Alligator mississippiensis: one gene and its partner. The protein of the gene in region 1 binds, or shares a complex with, the protein of each later gene. Links are inferred from orthologs where the notes say so. Each region holds a gene or a part of one and is shown on either strand. Other genes may lie near its edges.

What was found. The genes of interacting proteins can lie anywhere in the genome.
Region 2: the proteins of SAMHD1 (region 1) and DCAF1 are in contact, whole or in part, in a crystal structure (PDB 4CC9), measured with the Homo sapiens proteins. The link is inferred for Alligator mississippiensis from reciprocal best matches to the Homo sapiens genes SAMHD1 and DCAF1. Residues at the interface, in NP_056289.2 of Homo sapiens: Ser616, Arg617, Val618, Gln619, Lys622; in NP_001336097.1 of Homo sapiens: Asn1090, Glu1091, Asp1092, Thr1114, Gln1116, Asn1132.

The regions. Positions count from the first base shown.
Region 1 is NC_081832.1:35,304,109-35,311,868, forward strand, and holds the start of SAMHD1 (deoxynucleoside triphosphate triphosphohydrolase SAMHD1), read right to left. Parts: upstream 3,077-7,760; 5' UTR 3,015-3,076; coding exon 2,798-3,014; intron 1-2,797.
Region 2 is NC_081835.1:46,299,576-46,307,127, forward strand, and holds the start of DCAF1 (DDB1- and CUL4-associated factor 1), read right to left. Parts: upstream 3,228-7,552; 5' UTR 3,058-3,227; intron 1-3,057. UniProt on the Homo sapiens protein: Acts both as a substrate recognition component of E3 ubiquitin-protein ligase complexes and as an atypical serine/threonine-protein kinase, playing key roles in various processes such as cell cycle, telomerase regulation and histone modification.

The sequences.
Region 1 (7,760 bases):
AAGGTACTACATCTACTCAAAGAACCTTGCCTGCCTTATTGAAGCGTATACACTTAGTACAGTAGGAATGGGGGGCTGTCAGTTGACAGCCTGGCACGGCCAAGCCATGCTTTGGGTCAGGCAAGACTCCAGTCAGAGATGTCCAAGAGAGTTCTTCGGTACCACAGAGGTACGCCAAGGGATGGCCCAAGAATGATATCTAGCTATAATCCCAGCCCAAAATCCAATTTCTTATTTGGGTCCATATATATAGCAGTGGCTGGGGTCCTGTTGGTTGGCAGTCTGGCATAGCCTAACCACGCTTTGGGCCAGGCAAGTCTCTGGCTACAGATGTCCAGGAGAGTCCCCTGGTGGTACAGAGTCACTGTGTGGGATGGCCCAAAAAGAATTTCCAACCATAAACCCAGCCAAAACTTGTTCCTTATTTGAGCCCATATACTTAGTACAGTGGGCATGGGGGGGACTGTCAGTTGGCAGCCTGGCATGCACAAACTGCACTTTGGGCTGGGCTGGGCAAGACCCTGTCCAGAGATGTTCAGGAGAGTCCTCCAGTGCCACAGAGACATAGTGTGGGGCAGCCCAAAAAGAATTTCCAATCATAATCTCAACCCCAAAGCCAGTTCCTTATTCAAGTCATTATACTTAGTACAGTAGGCATGGGGGGCTGCCAGTTAGCAGCCTGGCACAAACAAACTGCTCTAGCCAGGGCAAGACTGGTCATGCATGTCCAGAAGAGCCTCTTGGTGCCACAGAGGTATGCTGTGGGATGACTCAAACAGGACTTCTAGCCATAATCCCAGCCCAAAAAACAGTTCCTTATTTCGAGCCCTTATACTTTAGTACAGTTGTCAGGGGGGGCTGTCAATTGGCAGCTTGGCATGGTCAAACTGTGCTATGGCTGAGCAGGACTGTGGTCAGAATTCTTTGGGACAGTCCCCCAGTGGCATCAACAGGAAGTTTGGGGTGGCCCAAGAAGTATTTTGCCCCTTAATCCTATCCTAATCTGACCTTCATTTAGAGCTCTGTACTTGATGTGGGATATTATTTTACAAATTAATTAGTACATATACATAACTAATGAAATTCTCTCTCTTTAGGATGTGCAATTCATTAATAACAAGCTTTTATTGGGTCTAGATTAGCTTTGAAAAAGGAACTGGGAACAAGGAACTGGGAATAAGCAATCAAATTCATCCTCATAGGGACTGAAGTCAATGGTATAAACGCCTGATATGAACCGGAAGTACACACCATGAACACTACAAGCTTAGTTCAAATTATGTAAAATTATGGAGCAGGGGCAAGAAGTGGAAGCCAGAGGAGTGAATGGGGAGCTCAGAGACCCTGGCTCCAGCAGCAACCAATGCAAGGGTGGGGAGTAGCAGCTGGGTGGCTCAAGGGCTACAAATTAACCCTCTCTCAAGGCTGTATGCAGCACAAGAGCCACCTGTTGGACTGGTAGAGGAGAGAAACTTTCTCCTATCAAAATGAAGTGAAAAACAAACATATCAACTTTCCATCAAACCATCGAAACATATTGACCATCTACCTATATAGCATATTACTTGTGGTGCAAGCAATTTGAAGGAGAGAAGATAATAGTCCTGTAGACCTGGAATACCTATCATACAGGATACCTATCCTGACTACCCAGGTGCAGATACTCTTTTTCCACACTAAGAGTAGCTTCAAATTTCTCTTTGAAAAAAGCGGTAGTTAAAGGTAATGTTCACATTTAGAAATGTCAGGCTTCAGCTCCAACATCCTAAGGAAAAGGTGCATGGGTGTGGAGTTCACATCTCAACCCCATTACATCAAGACATCTATACAACACAGCCTCAAGGTACATGTACAAAACTTTCTTCTCAACTAACAAGGTTTTATAAATCCAAGTTAAAATTGCTCAGAAACTGAAAGAGCCACCAATAAAATCCCAATATTGCTCCACTATTGCCATGGCACAAAATATGGGCTAACCCAGCTAGTCTATAAACTCTACAAAGCCTGCAAGGCCTCCAGGGTAGGGTATCCATTTGGCAGGGATAAAGGATCCTTCTGCCATTTCCCTGTTACAGGTTTTTAAATTTGATTTCTGGAATTTAAGCATTTTAAGGAACAGCCACAGACCCTCTGTAGGAGAGGAGGGTGACTTCAGGATGGATACTGGGGAAGAGGGGGACAGATCACCCCTACATGCTAGGCAGGGACACAAGGGTGGCCCTGGGGTGGGGTTTTTAAGTGTTCGGCTGTGGCTTGCAGACTTGTTGCTTCTTATGGGTTTTGTCACGTTCTGTAAGCCACCCTAAGCCTTTCCAGACAGGGTGGGATACAAACCTAAACAACAGCAGCAGCAACAACTTCACGCCCATGTACACACACGCCAGGAAACAGCAAGGCGCAGAGGAGTCAGCAGACGGACGCGCGGGGGCAGCTGACGAGCCTCACACAAACAAACCTCCTACTCCAGGAACAGGCACAGAAGTGGCCAGGCGCTTCCTGCCACGCAAAGCGGCCGGCCTATTCCCGGCAGCGCCCTCAGGCTGAGCGCTCACAGCCCGGCAGGGGCGCGGCAACGCCTGCCCGGCGCACGCGGGTCCCAGCCCTCAGTCCCGCCGGCCTGAAGCCGCTGTAGCTCAGACGCACCCCGGGAGGCGATGCCGGCGCAAGCGGCGGGTCTTGGGGCCCAAGCTGAAGCGCCAGCGGTCTCCTGCCCCCACCCTGCAAAGACCACGGGCGGCCGCAGGACTCTGCAGGCCCCCTCCCCGCCCAGCTGCGGGAAGCGCGCGGCGCCCAGCACCTCGGAAGCGGCGCAGCAGGTCGGGGTCGCGGAAGCCGCTGCGGCTGAGGAAGTCGCAAACACGTTCGGGGTCCCAGTCGCGCGGCTGGAGCTCGGCGCAAGCCGGGGCTCGCCTGGCTGAGACTCGCTTCTCCGGGGTGCACAGCCCTTCGGGGAGGCCGGAGATCCGAGCCCGCTTAGGGGCCTGCACGTCCTCCGCCACCTCCCGGCCCTGCATTGTCGCCGCCTGCGCCAGCCCAGCGGCGCGCACCTCTCTGCACGGCGCCGGCGCCAGTGAACAGCTCGTGGGGGGCGGGGACCCAGGATAAATGGCGTCGTGTGACGCAGGAGAGTAGGCAGTTGCTGCGCCTCCCTCCCTCTGCAGTGCCGCTATGACCTCCCTGACATTGCACAGACTGTACGAGACGACTGTAGCCCTGGCTCGGGCTTCCCGTCTTCCTGAAACCACCCTGGAAGCCACACAGACCCTCCCCCTCGCAGATTGCCACTATCACCTAATGGCGTTATTGTCCCTTACAAAGAGTAGCACCCAAGTAGATACCTCCCCACCTGAACAGCAGCTCCTCTGCTGATGCTCTCACTGATTCCTCCAAAGAAACACTGTATCCTTAGAAAATAAGTCACAAAACAAGAATGACAAGGCCATAAGGGAAATACAGAGTACCCAAGCGAGGGACTAACATAAGAGGGATTGGGGTGAGGAGAGGAATACAACTAGGCTACCTAAGTACAATGTTAGTCATCTAAGCCTGGGGTCAGTGTGAGAGAAGGGGAGGGAGATGGTCAGGACGCTGAGAGAGAGAAGAAGATAGCTACAAACAAATGTACAAAGGTCAGCAATGATGGAGGGGGTGGGTTGAACAAAGAAGTCACTCAAGCCAGCCAGCCCTATCGCAGAAGTCCTTGCCAGGTGGAGTGGAGTAGTCCGTGGTTGAGAATAGCTCTCAAAGTCCATTACATGCAGAGGGGAGTTCAGACCCCTCTGGGTCCGGTCCGGTGGCAGTTGGTCTGGTGGGGTTGATGAACTGGCACTGGCCCATGATGTGTTCGACGTAGGTGTTGTGGGACCAGCGGATGGTGTCAGACACCATGAGGCACCGCATCAGCTTGGTGTAGCGGCGGGAGGCAAGGCAGGCACACAGGACACTCTTGTTGCTGGGGTCCCAGGCTCCAAGCACTCCCACAATGAGCATGTCGACCATCACATGGTAGTCACGGCTCTTCAGGATGTCGGTCAGTGGGGCATATTTCTCCCACTTGTGAGCCCAGGCATCGGTGAAGGCTTGGGGCTGGTTCTCGAAGGTGATGGTAACATCCATGATCACGACTTTCTTGACTTCCTCATTGGTGATGATGATGTCGGGGTGCATCAGAAATTGCACTTCAGAAATTGCTATGCCCCAGTGCTTCAGATACCACAACATCCCAACCACTTGTGTACCTGTCTCCTGAGGTGCTATCATCCCTGCCTGAGGTGCTATCATCCCTGAGTCACTCTGACCCGGACATAACCATATTGTTATTCCAGACACTACTGTGCTTAAAAACACCAATCTGACTCACCATTCCAATGACAAACATTGATGCTGCCCAGATTCATCAAAGATCTCACAACATGATGATACATCACTGGAGATAACACTGGTGAAATAGTTCCCCAACCACCAAAGTGCTCCTGTATCCCAGATTTCACTGAGCTGAAGATGACCTCGTGTCCCATTGAACCTAATGCCACAAAACTGTATATAGTGACAGAACAAATGGCCCAAACATCACTGGCAGACAAGGTTTTTTGAGTAAATGTGATATGTTTTATTAGATCTTTGTTATTCTTGAAGAAGGGTGTTTGCACCCGAAAGCTTGCAAAGAACATTTTTTCCAACTATTTAGTTAGTCTAATAAAAGATATCACATTTACCCAAAGAACCTTGTCTGCCTATGTCCTTAGACCAACACGGCTACAACCAACCCTCCCAAACATCACTGCATTTTTATGCCTACTGTGAGAGAGGCAGAAAGCAAGAGAGGGACAGCCAGCATCCCCAACTCACCCTGGTATGGGGAATCCCCGTGAGTGGCATGCTGGAGACGCTGCAGCACTTCTGGAGCAATGTGACACTCCAGATTGGTGGGGAACACATCTAGAGCAGTAATTCTGGCCCCAGAGAGAGGTACAGCGGCAGTGGCAGTAGGCAGCAGAGGCGACAGACTGAGTAGCTCCCAGACTGGGGGCAACCTTGCTGCTGAAGCAGAACAGCCAGTCCAGCCCAAGCAGCAGGGTGCTTGGAGGAGCCCTATTCTACAAGCTCGATGACCGGGAGAGGCAGGATCAGGGACCAGCACATCCAGTTGGTCCAGCAATGCCGAGACTACTTACAGGTCAGAGGGACCTTGTGTGGAGGTGGATCAAACAGAAGGTCCAGGTACTGAGCCAGTGCTTACCTCTTGGGCAGTATCATCATACTTAGGGGTAAGGGCATGGTCTGGGGCCTATACCCTTGCCCAGGCTCCACATTCTGCAACAGGCCAGGGGCAGCAGAAGGCCCCAGAGTTTGTGACCGGACCCTAGGGACCAGGGTCAGTGGGTGATAAAGCCCTGTATAACTGCCAAAGGGGCCTTGAATGTCAGGCCTGGGCAGGTAAAGGCTACAATCCTAAGAGGATCCCAGGTTGGGAGAAGATTTATGTTCATGCCAGTGTGACAGGCCAACAGCGGCTGCCACCCATAGCATAGCGACTAATTTAGGGCCACCAGGCCCAGGAATATACTTTAAGTGCTGAGCTAGCTAGTTAGCAGCTGCAGAAGCTCAGCAGGAACACAGCCAAAGTTAGATGAGGGCCAGTCAAGTGGATAGCTGCTAGCATGGTTGCTATAGAGAACACGTGCTGTTAGAGTCATCAGAGACTCCTGACAATATCCATCTCTGTGGGAGACTGGATGTGGTTAGGATGGGGTAAAAGGGAGGTTTGCAGCCTCACAAAGAGAACAGGGTGAAAGACCTGGAGGGTCGCCTATGGGGAACTGCCTCCTGTAAATTACATCAAAGTCATGGCAGACAAGACATATAACATCACATAGGCAGGCCGGATGACCTAGTCTAGGCTCCACCCTGTTGCCACAGGTAGGGTGGCAATCCCTGGGAAGGGGTCTCAAACCAGATAATATCTATAGCCGACACACCTATCCACAATACAACTAGGAGACCCAACTAGGGGATGTTGGATCTTGTCCTGACCAATAGGTGAGAAATGGTAGAGGAGATGAAAATCACAGGAAGCTTGGGAGTCATCAATCACAATATGATAAAATTAATGAGACAGAAAGGGAAAGCATTTGGTCAGCAGACCTAAGTCACTAGATTTAGAAAAATGACTTTCAACTGACTTATGGAGTTAATAGCCATGGTGCCATAGGAAGACAGACTGAAGGTTAAAGGGGCCCAGAAGGGCTAAGAAGCTTCTTAAGGGCACAGTATTGGAAGCCCAACAAGAAACTGTCCCAATGTGGTGGAAGCATATGCCTTATGGCCTTCTAGGATGCCTCAAACACAAAAGAAAAGTATATAGGCAATAAGAAGATGGGCAAATCACCAAGGAAGCATACCAGGAGATGCAGGGAAAAAATCAGGAAGGCAAAGGTAAAAAATGAGCTTCAGCTGACAAGGGCAGTTAAAAACAACAAGAAGAGGTTCTAAGTAGGTTCTAAGTAGGCTGGTCTGAAAAGAAAGACCAAGAAAGCTGCAGGTCCACCAGGGTTTGCAACATGGGGTGACTAGGGGGCTGAGCCCCCCCCATAAGAGATGAGAGGCCCCCCCATAAGCACCTCCATAAGAGATGAGATCCCCCATAAGAGACAAGAGCCCCCAGCTTGCCTTTCTAAGCAGCTCAGGCAGCAGCAACAGTGGTGGTGGCTCCTTTTAGCTTCCAGCTGTCACCACCAGAGTGTAATTCAAACCCTGATTTGAATCACTGTCCTGAATCAATTCAGCCAAATCTGATTCAGAGAATCAGTTGCTGCTGAATCAGCCGAATTTCCGAATCACACAGGCGCTATCCCCTACCCGCTCTCCCAGCCCCAGCAATGGCTGCCCCGCCCACCCCAACTCCCGGCACTTAAAAAAAAAAAGCACCTAATCACCGGTTCCAGCCCGGTGGGGTGGGCAATCCCCGCTGCCCCACACTGCCCTATGAGCCCCCTGCCCCCTCCGCTCTCCCAGCCTGTGCCCCCCATGACTGCCCTGCCTGCCCCAGCTCTGGTCCTTTAAGAAAAACAAAAACTAAAAATATCCTTGGACTCACCAGTTCCTGCCTGGTGGGGGAGCAAATCCTACTGCCCCCCACTGCCCCGCGATGCATGGGGGGCTCTGTATGGGCCCCCTGAAACCCTGAGGCCACTGTAGCAGCTGGTGAGTCTGGAGATTTTTGGGGGGTTTTTTTCTTAAAGGGCCAGGAGCTAGGGCAGGCAAGACAGCATGGTGGGGTCTGGGAGAACTGTGGGGGGGGTCTGGGAGCTCGTGTTGGAGCCCCCCATGTGACATGGGGGAGCGGGGGGCAGTGGGGATCACCCCCCCCTGCCCGGCAGCACCCAGTAAGTGTGGGGCTGGGGGAGCAGGCAGGGGATGGGGCCCAGTGGAGGGTCTCCCATGGACCCTCCTCCAGCCCCCCCTCCCCTGGCTCCTACTTACCAGCTTGGAGTCCAGCTCCCTGCTGCAGTGGGCAGGGACTGCCCGAATCACCAAAGCTCTCCAAATCTTTTCTGAATCAAACCGGAGAACTTCGAATCAATTTGGACCTTTTAATTGGTCCCCTGATTCGATACGGATTCGGAGATTCAGCCACTGAAGCAGGCCGAATCTCCTCCAAATCAAATCAGCACCTGAAGCTTCACACAGTACTACTGGTTAGGCCTCATAGATTCATAGATTCATAGATGTTAGGGTCGGAAGCGACCTCAATAGATCAT
Region 2 (7,552 bases), on another chromosome or scaffold:
TCATTACCTAGTTCAGAGCACAGTCAGATCTCAATAGTAGATGTAGATATAATCTAGTATTTTCATAGACTCATCATTTTCCTTTAATATTATTCCATCTGCATATAGGCATGCACAAAAGGGGAAAATAAAACCTTTATCAAAAACATCACATGGCCAGGGGAGGGAGGATTTCGGTTTTCCCTTCCTCAATTCTGTGTACTACCTTTTCAAATTTATTTTATTGTAACTACATGCTAAATGCCATCAGTAAAGAGACCAAGGTGTATAACACAAACTTGTATTTCTCATGCATTAACCACAATTTTCCCAGCACATGCATTTTTATGACAAGTGCATAGCATTTGCAGATGCAATGATCAAATCAATTCCTGCCAGATTTACATTCCCCTCACTCAAGAACTTCATCAAAGGGCTCAAGAGAAAAAACAAGAGCGCAGACTGAATAAAATGTGATCAGAAGTGCCCCTAAGCTGCAGTAGAGGATGTTTATTAGAGCAGCCCTAATTCTCATTGTTTCCTTTGTACAGGCACTTGACAAATTTCAACCCCTAAACTGCTTTTCAGGAACTAAGAATAGGATGTAGCATTTTAATCACTGATTTAAAAATCAAGTTGAAATTCTGTAAAAATGATGTTGAAGTTGCAGCCTCAAATTATAATTTGTAATTAAGTAAATGATAACGTTACATTTCTTTAATACCATTACTATTTGGGAATCACATTTTTCAAACTTGCCATTAGCAAAATGCAAAATACTGAAAGCCAGGCCTCGATTCTGCAAGCACTTATGCAGGCAATTTTATTTGTCTCTGTCATCTCAAATAAAATGACTTCAGTTTTAACAATAAAAATCAACTGAGACTTAAGAAGACAAGCTCCCATGATACATTAATATACAAGCCAAAAGACTGAAAAAGGTCTCTCACAAAAAAAGGCCCAAGTCCTCAAAGGTGTTTAGGCAACACGGATAATCCTACTGATTTCAACAAGAAATAGGCACTCAAATCCTTTCGTGCCTGTGGCACAGAGTGACTCTGGGACACAGCTTCCAACTGCAAAGCCTAAATAGTATAATCTAGCTGAAATGTTTCAGCTTCAACTTTATGAAACTGCAACATATTGGAAGGGAATGCTAGCTGCAAAAACAGCACAAGCTGTTTGCTTATCAATTTTGTGGCACTCTCCTGGTAAGGATTACAACAAGGCTCTAAACTGTTTCAGGAGATATAACCATTTTACATGAAAATCTTTTAAAATAAGGTACCTACAGTATTAGAATTTCAGATAATAAATATGAAACTCAAGCTCAAAAGCTGCACTGCAAAATTTAAAATGAAAAGGAAACAATTAGCAACATATAAATAACAAGAAATCATATTGTTTAAGAAAAAATAAGTAATGATTTTAATCAACCTTGTGGCAGAACGTCAGACATAAATTCTAATGAAGATTAACAGAGTTATGAAATTTGTCCATCAGCATAATGGACAAGGTCAAGCCACATTATAGCAACCACACTCTAACCCAGTCCAGATAAAACAAGAAATATAATACTGCTCTCAACAATGATTTAAGTTTTCTAAAAGAACCACTGTAGACAAAGTCTAAGGTAGCGTGAAATCTAACTGCAATGGTAGAAATTTTTTATTTTTTTTTAAACAGCAAGTGCTGCATAAACAAATGAAGCTCTGGCTGCCTGAGTGTGCAAAGAGCCTGCAACAACTATCCCACTCTTAAAAAGGGTGGTAAAGTTGCAACCTAAGAATGATTATGCAAATGCCAACACTGATTAACAACTGTACTGTTGAACACAGTCTATAAGCAAAGAAGAGATCTGCATGGTCAATCACGAATGAAATCACATCTTAGTGTTAGAAGAAGCAGGACTTTCAAGATGATGGCCTATTTTTTCAGCTTGTCACTTCAGTCATCAAGAAGCAAATACGACTTGCCTGCAGGCCCTACAAACAGTAAAAATAATGATCTAAAAAACCAGCACTGTTCTACTTGTCCGTCAAAATGTAGTATTCACTCACTCACCAACTTGAGTCAAATTTTGGAAGTCCAGCTCAAAAGATTAAATAATTTAGTTCTCTACATTTAAGCTTCTATGAAATGTACCTCAGAGGGGCTGTCAACCAACTGTAACAAAAAAATAATTAAAACAAGGAACAAATATGTTGGTGTCAAGAGAAAAATCACTCCATTCTCAGTCCACTGGTTTTCAAGGGGTGACAACAATCCCCAATCAAACAAGTAGGAGAAAAGCAAGACAAAGAATGGGTCTATGCCTGAGCCCTGTAACACTGTAACTACACTTGTGTAATCAAAGACATCCTGCGCTCCCACAAACGCACTTTCCTGAGCATGTCTGACTCCTAATCAGGGAAGAGGTTCACTAGCCCAGAGGCACCTGTCATGCCTATAAGAGGGACTGTACCAGTTTAATTCTTGCAATTAATAAGTGTATGAAAACAGTCTCCAAAAGGAAAGCAGCTCCAACAGTAGAGCCACTCACTACCAAAACTACACTGCATGGAAGGAGGAGGCGGCAGGCCCGAGGTCTCACCCCGGCCCCTCGGGGCGAGGGGGGAGAGGGGGGGGGCATATGGAGGCAGCGGCGAGGCAATGGCAGGGCAGGGCTGGGCAGAGCAGCCCACCCGGCACATGGCAGCAAGGATAGGTGAGGAACAAGGGGTCCTTCGAGCAAGAGGGCTGAGCTGGGCGGCAAGTCACCACCCCCCCACGTGGGCAGGAAGCGCCACGCTCGGGGCAGGGGGCGGGCGCGCGGACGGACGGGGAAGGGAGGCCCGGAGGTAGCGAGGAGCCGGGAGTGACCCCGGCGGCACAAGGTGGAGGGAGCTGCAGGGGGGACCGGGCGCCCCTCCCCCGCCCCGCGGTAACGGCCCCGCGCCGGGCCCGAGGCAGGACCCGACAGGACAGGACAGGGCCGGGCCGGCCGACGCAGTGGCAAGGCCAGGGCCGAGCGGCCTGTGGGGCCGGGGCCGCAGCCGGTGCCGTCAGCCACCCCGCGGGGTCCGCGCCCAGCCCTACCTGCCCAGCGCCCGCTGGTCCCCGCCGCTGCGCTGCGCTGCGCTGCGCTGCGCTGCCCGTTCGGCCCCGCACAGCCCGCGACAGCGATGGCGGCTCACACTTTGCACGTCACGGCGCGCGCAGGGGCCGGCGCCCGCGCAGCCTCCAGGGAAACACAGTTCGAGAGCCGGCGGCACAGTGCGCATGCGCGGCTCTCTCAGTGCCGGGAGGCTGGGTCTGGTCTGCGTCAGGCTCGGGGGCGGGGCCGGTTCCTGACCCCGCGGATCAAGTGATGGTGCTCACTCCCGCTCATGAGGCGCTGTTTGCAGAAGCTGCCGAGTTAAATCATCTCGGTCCTGCCCCGGTGCGGGGGCGCAAAGGGCTGCTCATGCCAAGCAAGGTCTTGTTACTGCGATTCTGGGGCGGCTCCTGGAGCTCTCAACGCCTGGCTTGTCTCCACATTAACTCCTGAAACTGGCGCCAAGCACTAAGGGTGTGAAGGTATTTTCGGCTTGTGTTACACTAGAGCACCTGCACCTTACACCCCGCGCTCACACCGCTCGACAGATGTGCGGATCACAGCACAACATGTGACACGGCCCTCGCATGACATTGCACTTGATGGGATTCATGTTCATAAACCTTAAGGTACAAGTTTAGGTTGGGAATATATTGCCATATTCATATTCTTCCCTCAATCTACTGTTTGCTCCATTAGAGTTACCCCACAGACGAGCAGGATTACTAGAAATAATGCCTTCACACACTGGACTACTTTCTTGAGACGGGCCCAATCAATTACCACTTGCAGAGTCGGGCTACCACAGGAACGTTAAATAAAAATATTATATTCTCTGTTAAAAAGGGATGGTCATAGTGCAGAGTATTCAAGACACTTTAGAATACATGTGCGCACACATGCATATATATACACAATATATATATATATATATATATATATATATTGCCTGCAACGGGGAACTCCTGCCCTTGTTACTGGGAGGGCTTGAATACATTTTAAAAAAGGGCAGGAATCAGGTAGCTAATGAGGCAGGCAATTAACTGCACCTGGCACTGGGAAAGGATGAACAAAAGGGTCAGTCAGGTGACTGGAAGGGGCCTGGGCTGAGAAATATAAACCCAGTCTCTGAATAGGCATTGGTTAATCTGGTCTTGTAGTTGGCAGCTGGTGGAGGTGGGTTGATTAGTGTCCGCCTAGTTCCCAGAGATCTGCAGGGAAGAGGCTAAGGGGAACTAGCACCCTGCAGGGAAGTATTAGCCCAGAATAGAGAGGTTTTTTTTGTTTCACAGCTGTTGGGCTGATGTTTATGTTTTGGCTAGATCTTTTGGAGAACTGGCTGTGGCTGTAAAGAGAAGAAGCCACAAATAGGAGTGCTTTAGTGCTTCCCCCTGCAATGAGCCCCAGAGTTCAGGCCCTGAGATTGAGGTAAGGGTTGAAACTCAGAGACTGAGGCCTTGAACAGCAGTCCCAGGCAGAGGGTGTAGTTGTAGAGCAAAGGGGAGCTGAGGCTGTGATGGCCAAGGCCCTGCCAAGTGCCTCAACCTATGTGGGTGTCCCCTTTAAGGGGAAGTACCAAGAGAAGGCAGAAGGTCCCAGCTATTGCTGGTTGGTATGGACATATCAGTCCATCCCATGATGTGACTACCTGCCACAATTTCAGTGTTGTTGGGGAGAGATCCCTAGGGTCAGTAAATGATGGGAGGCAAAGCAAGGTTGGGAAGGCGCCAGCAAGCAGGGTGGACCCACGTGGGTGCTATGTTACCACATACAAAAATTTATGTGGTGACATGAATATTCCTTCCAACCTATAAATACCCCTATGGCGATGGATGGTACTACAGCTTGCTATGTTCTTCATGTCTCCAAAATAAATTACCTAAGCTATGGGGTTTTTGTACCCTGCTGCCCCTCTCAAATGAATGAATTTATAGTCTGTAATGAATTCATCATACAGTTTAGACTACCTTACAGAATCCATCTACTTGCTCATTTTAAACACCTTCCTACTGAAGTCAGAGGAAGGGAGGATGCCCAATCCATTAGACTAGTAGGGATATTGTATGAGTACAAAATGACAACTTTTGATACCAGCTTTAACTCATGCAGTTTGTTTTTAAGTATCACATTACTTGATTCAATAAACTTATTTCCTTTTCCATTCTTGAGTGTTACACTGAAAGCTGTTTAATTTGGCCATTGACTTGCCTACTTTTGACCATTAGACAGCAGCTTGCTTTGGAAACAAGACTATTTCTCCTAATCCTGTAGGAAACTAAGCACAACACCAAAGCAAGTCACATTGAACCAACAGAGTCAAATCATAGGAAGACTAAATCATCCCAGCTGTTTTTGTTCGTCCATTACTACTTCAGCATGGCTGCTTCTATCACAAGGAAAGAAGCGTGGTCTTGTGCCTTTTATGGAGCAAGGGACCAAGTCAAGAGTTTGATTCTGTTTCAGCTTTCCCACTGACACTTGTGACTATTAGCAGGTGCCTTCAATTTATATCATCCCTCTTTCACATGTAAGGTGTAACTAACACCTCTTCAGGGTGTTAGTAATAAGTAATGAGCCATGTCGTCTGGCTCGTTAGTAGTGTGTACTCCTGGAAGTGCCGAGTTACCATTCAGACAAGGTTCTTTGGGTAAATCCGATATCTCTTATTAGACCAACTAAAATAGTTGGGGAAAAAAATTTTTTTGGTCATTATCCAGGCTGTTGGAAGTTTCTTAAAAATGGGGGAGCTGAAAGTAAGTACTCAAACAGTGGCTGTGGCTGTGATAGTAACAGGAATGGAAAGCAAAGTGTTGTAATGAACTGATAGGGGCAACACCACATGGAATGCTCAGGTAGCTGAAATTTTCCATCATAAATGAGGAATGTTAAAGAGGCTTAATGAGAGTGACCAAAAAAAAGTGGAAAGGAAAGAAATATTTGGTGTAATTTTTGTAATAAAAAGATGCTAAAGGTCAACTTGTACAAGATGATGGTAAGACCAAGAATGAAATACAAGGCAGAACCCTGGATCATGAGAAGAAAGAAAGAGAAAATTTGACAAGGAGAGAAATAGGTTGCGATCAACCCTGGGAGTACTTCCAGCAATGACACCTTCCGTGTATCCTCCACTTCTAATAAAGATGGTTACAGAAGCTAGATCATACCATCAGACCTTCTCAAGAAGGTATGACAAAAAAAGTTACTGGGCAAAATGATCTCCAACAAGGGTTGGCAACCTATTCCCAATGGGCCAGATGCAAGTTATGAAAAGACTTGATCCAGCCTGCAACAGCATGCTCCAGCCAGTGCAGCAGAGAGGGCATTCCCCAGGTACTGCTGCCTATCTCATTCTGTATTTCCTCTGCAGTATTTGCAAGTCACTGCAAATCTTTGCACCCTTCAATAGGGGCTGGGTTCAAACAGTGGCCCATAACAGTGGAAGGTTCTCGACCCCTTATCTACAGGATGATGCCAACTATTGTTACGTGGGAAGTTATGTTGTTTACCCAAAAGGTGGGAACCAGTCATGAAGGACTTCCTGTATCCATATTTGAATGTGGGTCCAGTGAAGTCTTACTTTAACAGGACACTTGGGGTTCTCACTCAGGGCTAGATGGTATGGGGCCACTTTTACCAACTGACGTATTCCCAAATAAGAGTAGTTTTTCTGCATACCTGTATGGGAATTGAATGTGGGCTTGAATTCCTAAGGGGCCTTGGGTCCAACAGGATTAAGTACCTTCTCATGTGTCTGGCACCAGGCAGAGTCACCAATGCCTAGGCCCTTTGGCTTGCACAGTTAGTTCAAAGACATGGTTTAGGGTGCTTTTAGAATTCATATTTCAGCAGTAGCTTAACTAAGGTAAGCGGGGAAAAGGGTAAACAGGGCACCAGATGCCAATGGAGGGGCTGGAGGGGAGGGGAAGTACAAAAATAGCAGTCAGCACTGCCTGAGCTGGTACTACCATTGATGGTGGCAACCTAGCCACTGTCCAGCTACACCTTTATTTTAGGTAGAGGTTGCATTGCACTTCAGAGATTCAGTTATGGTACAGGACTTTGCTATCTGAAATGAAGATACTGTTGTTCTCTTTCTGTACTTCACATTCTCTTGCAGAGATACACAGAGAAAAAGGATTGATGGAGTCTAAAACAGGTAGAAAGCAACCCTAAACCCCTCTGGATTAAGCTGAAACTATTAGGATTTCATGCATCCTGAAGACCAGGGGGTGAAGAAAACTGAAAAACAGCTGTCTCTGGCTTTTCTTCCTCTAGTTTTGCCACACACTAGGGCAAGCACCAGTTAATATTAATCATCAACCTCATGGTGAACTTTTTGCTTCAACATCATCCACTTTGACAGCAACATTTTTAGCCAGAGGCTCAGCCCAATATTAGCCCATCCAGTTTTTTCAATCCAATGCTTGTATTAGTTCTTCCAACCCTGTTTATTCAAGCATTAGCCGTCTTTGGTACATGCCCATTTTGGGATGGGTC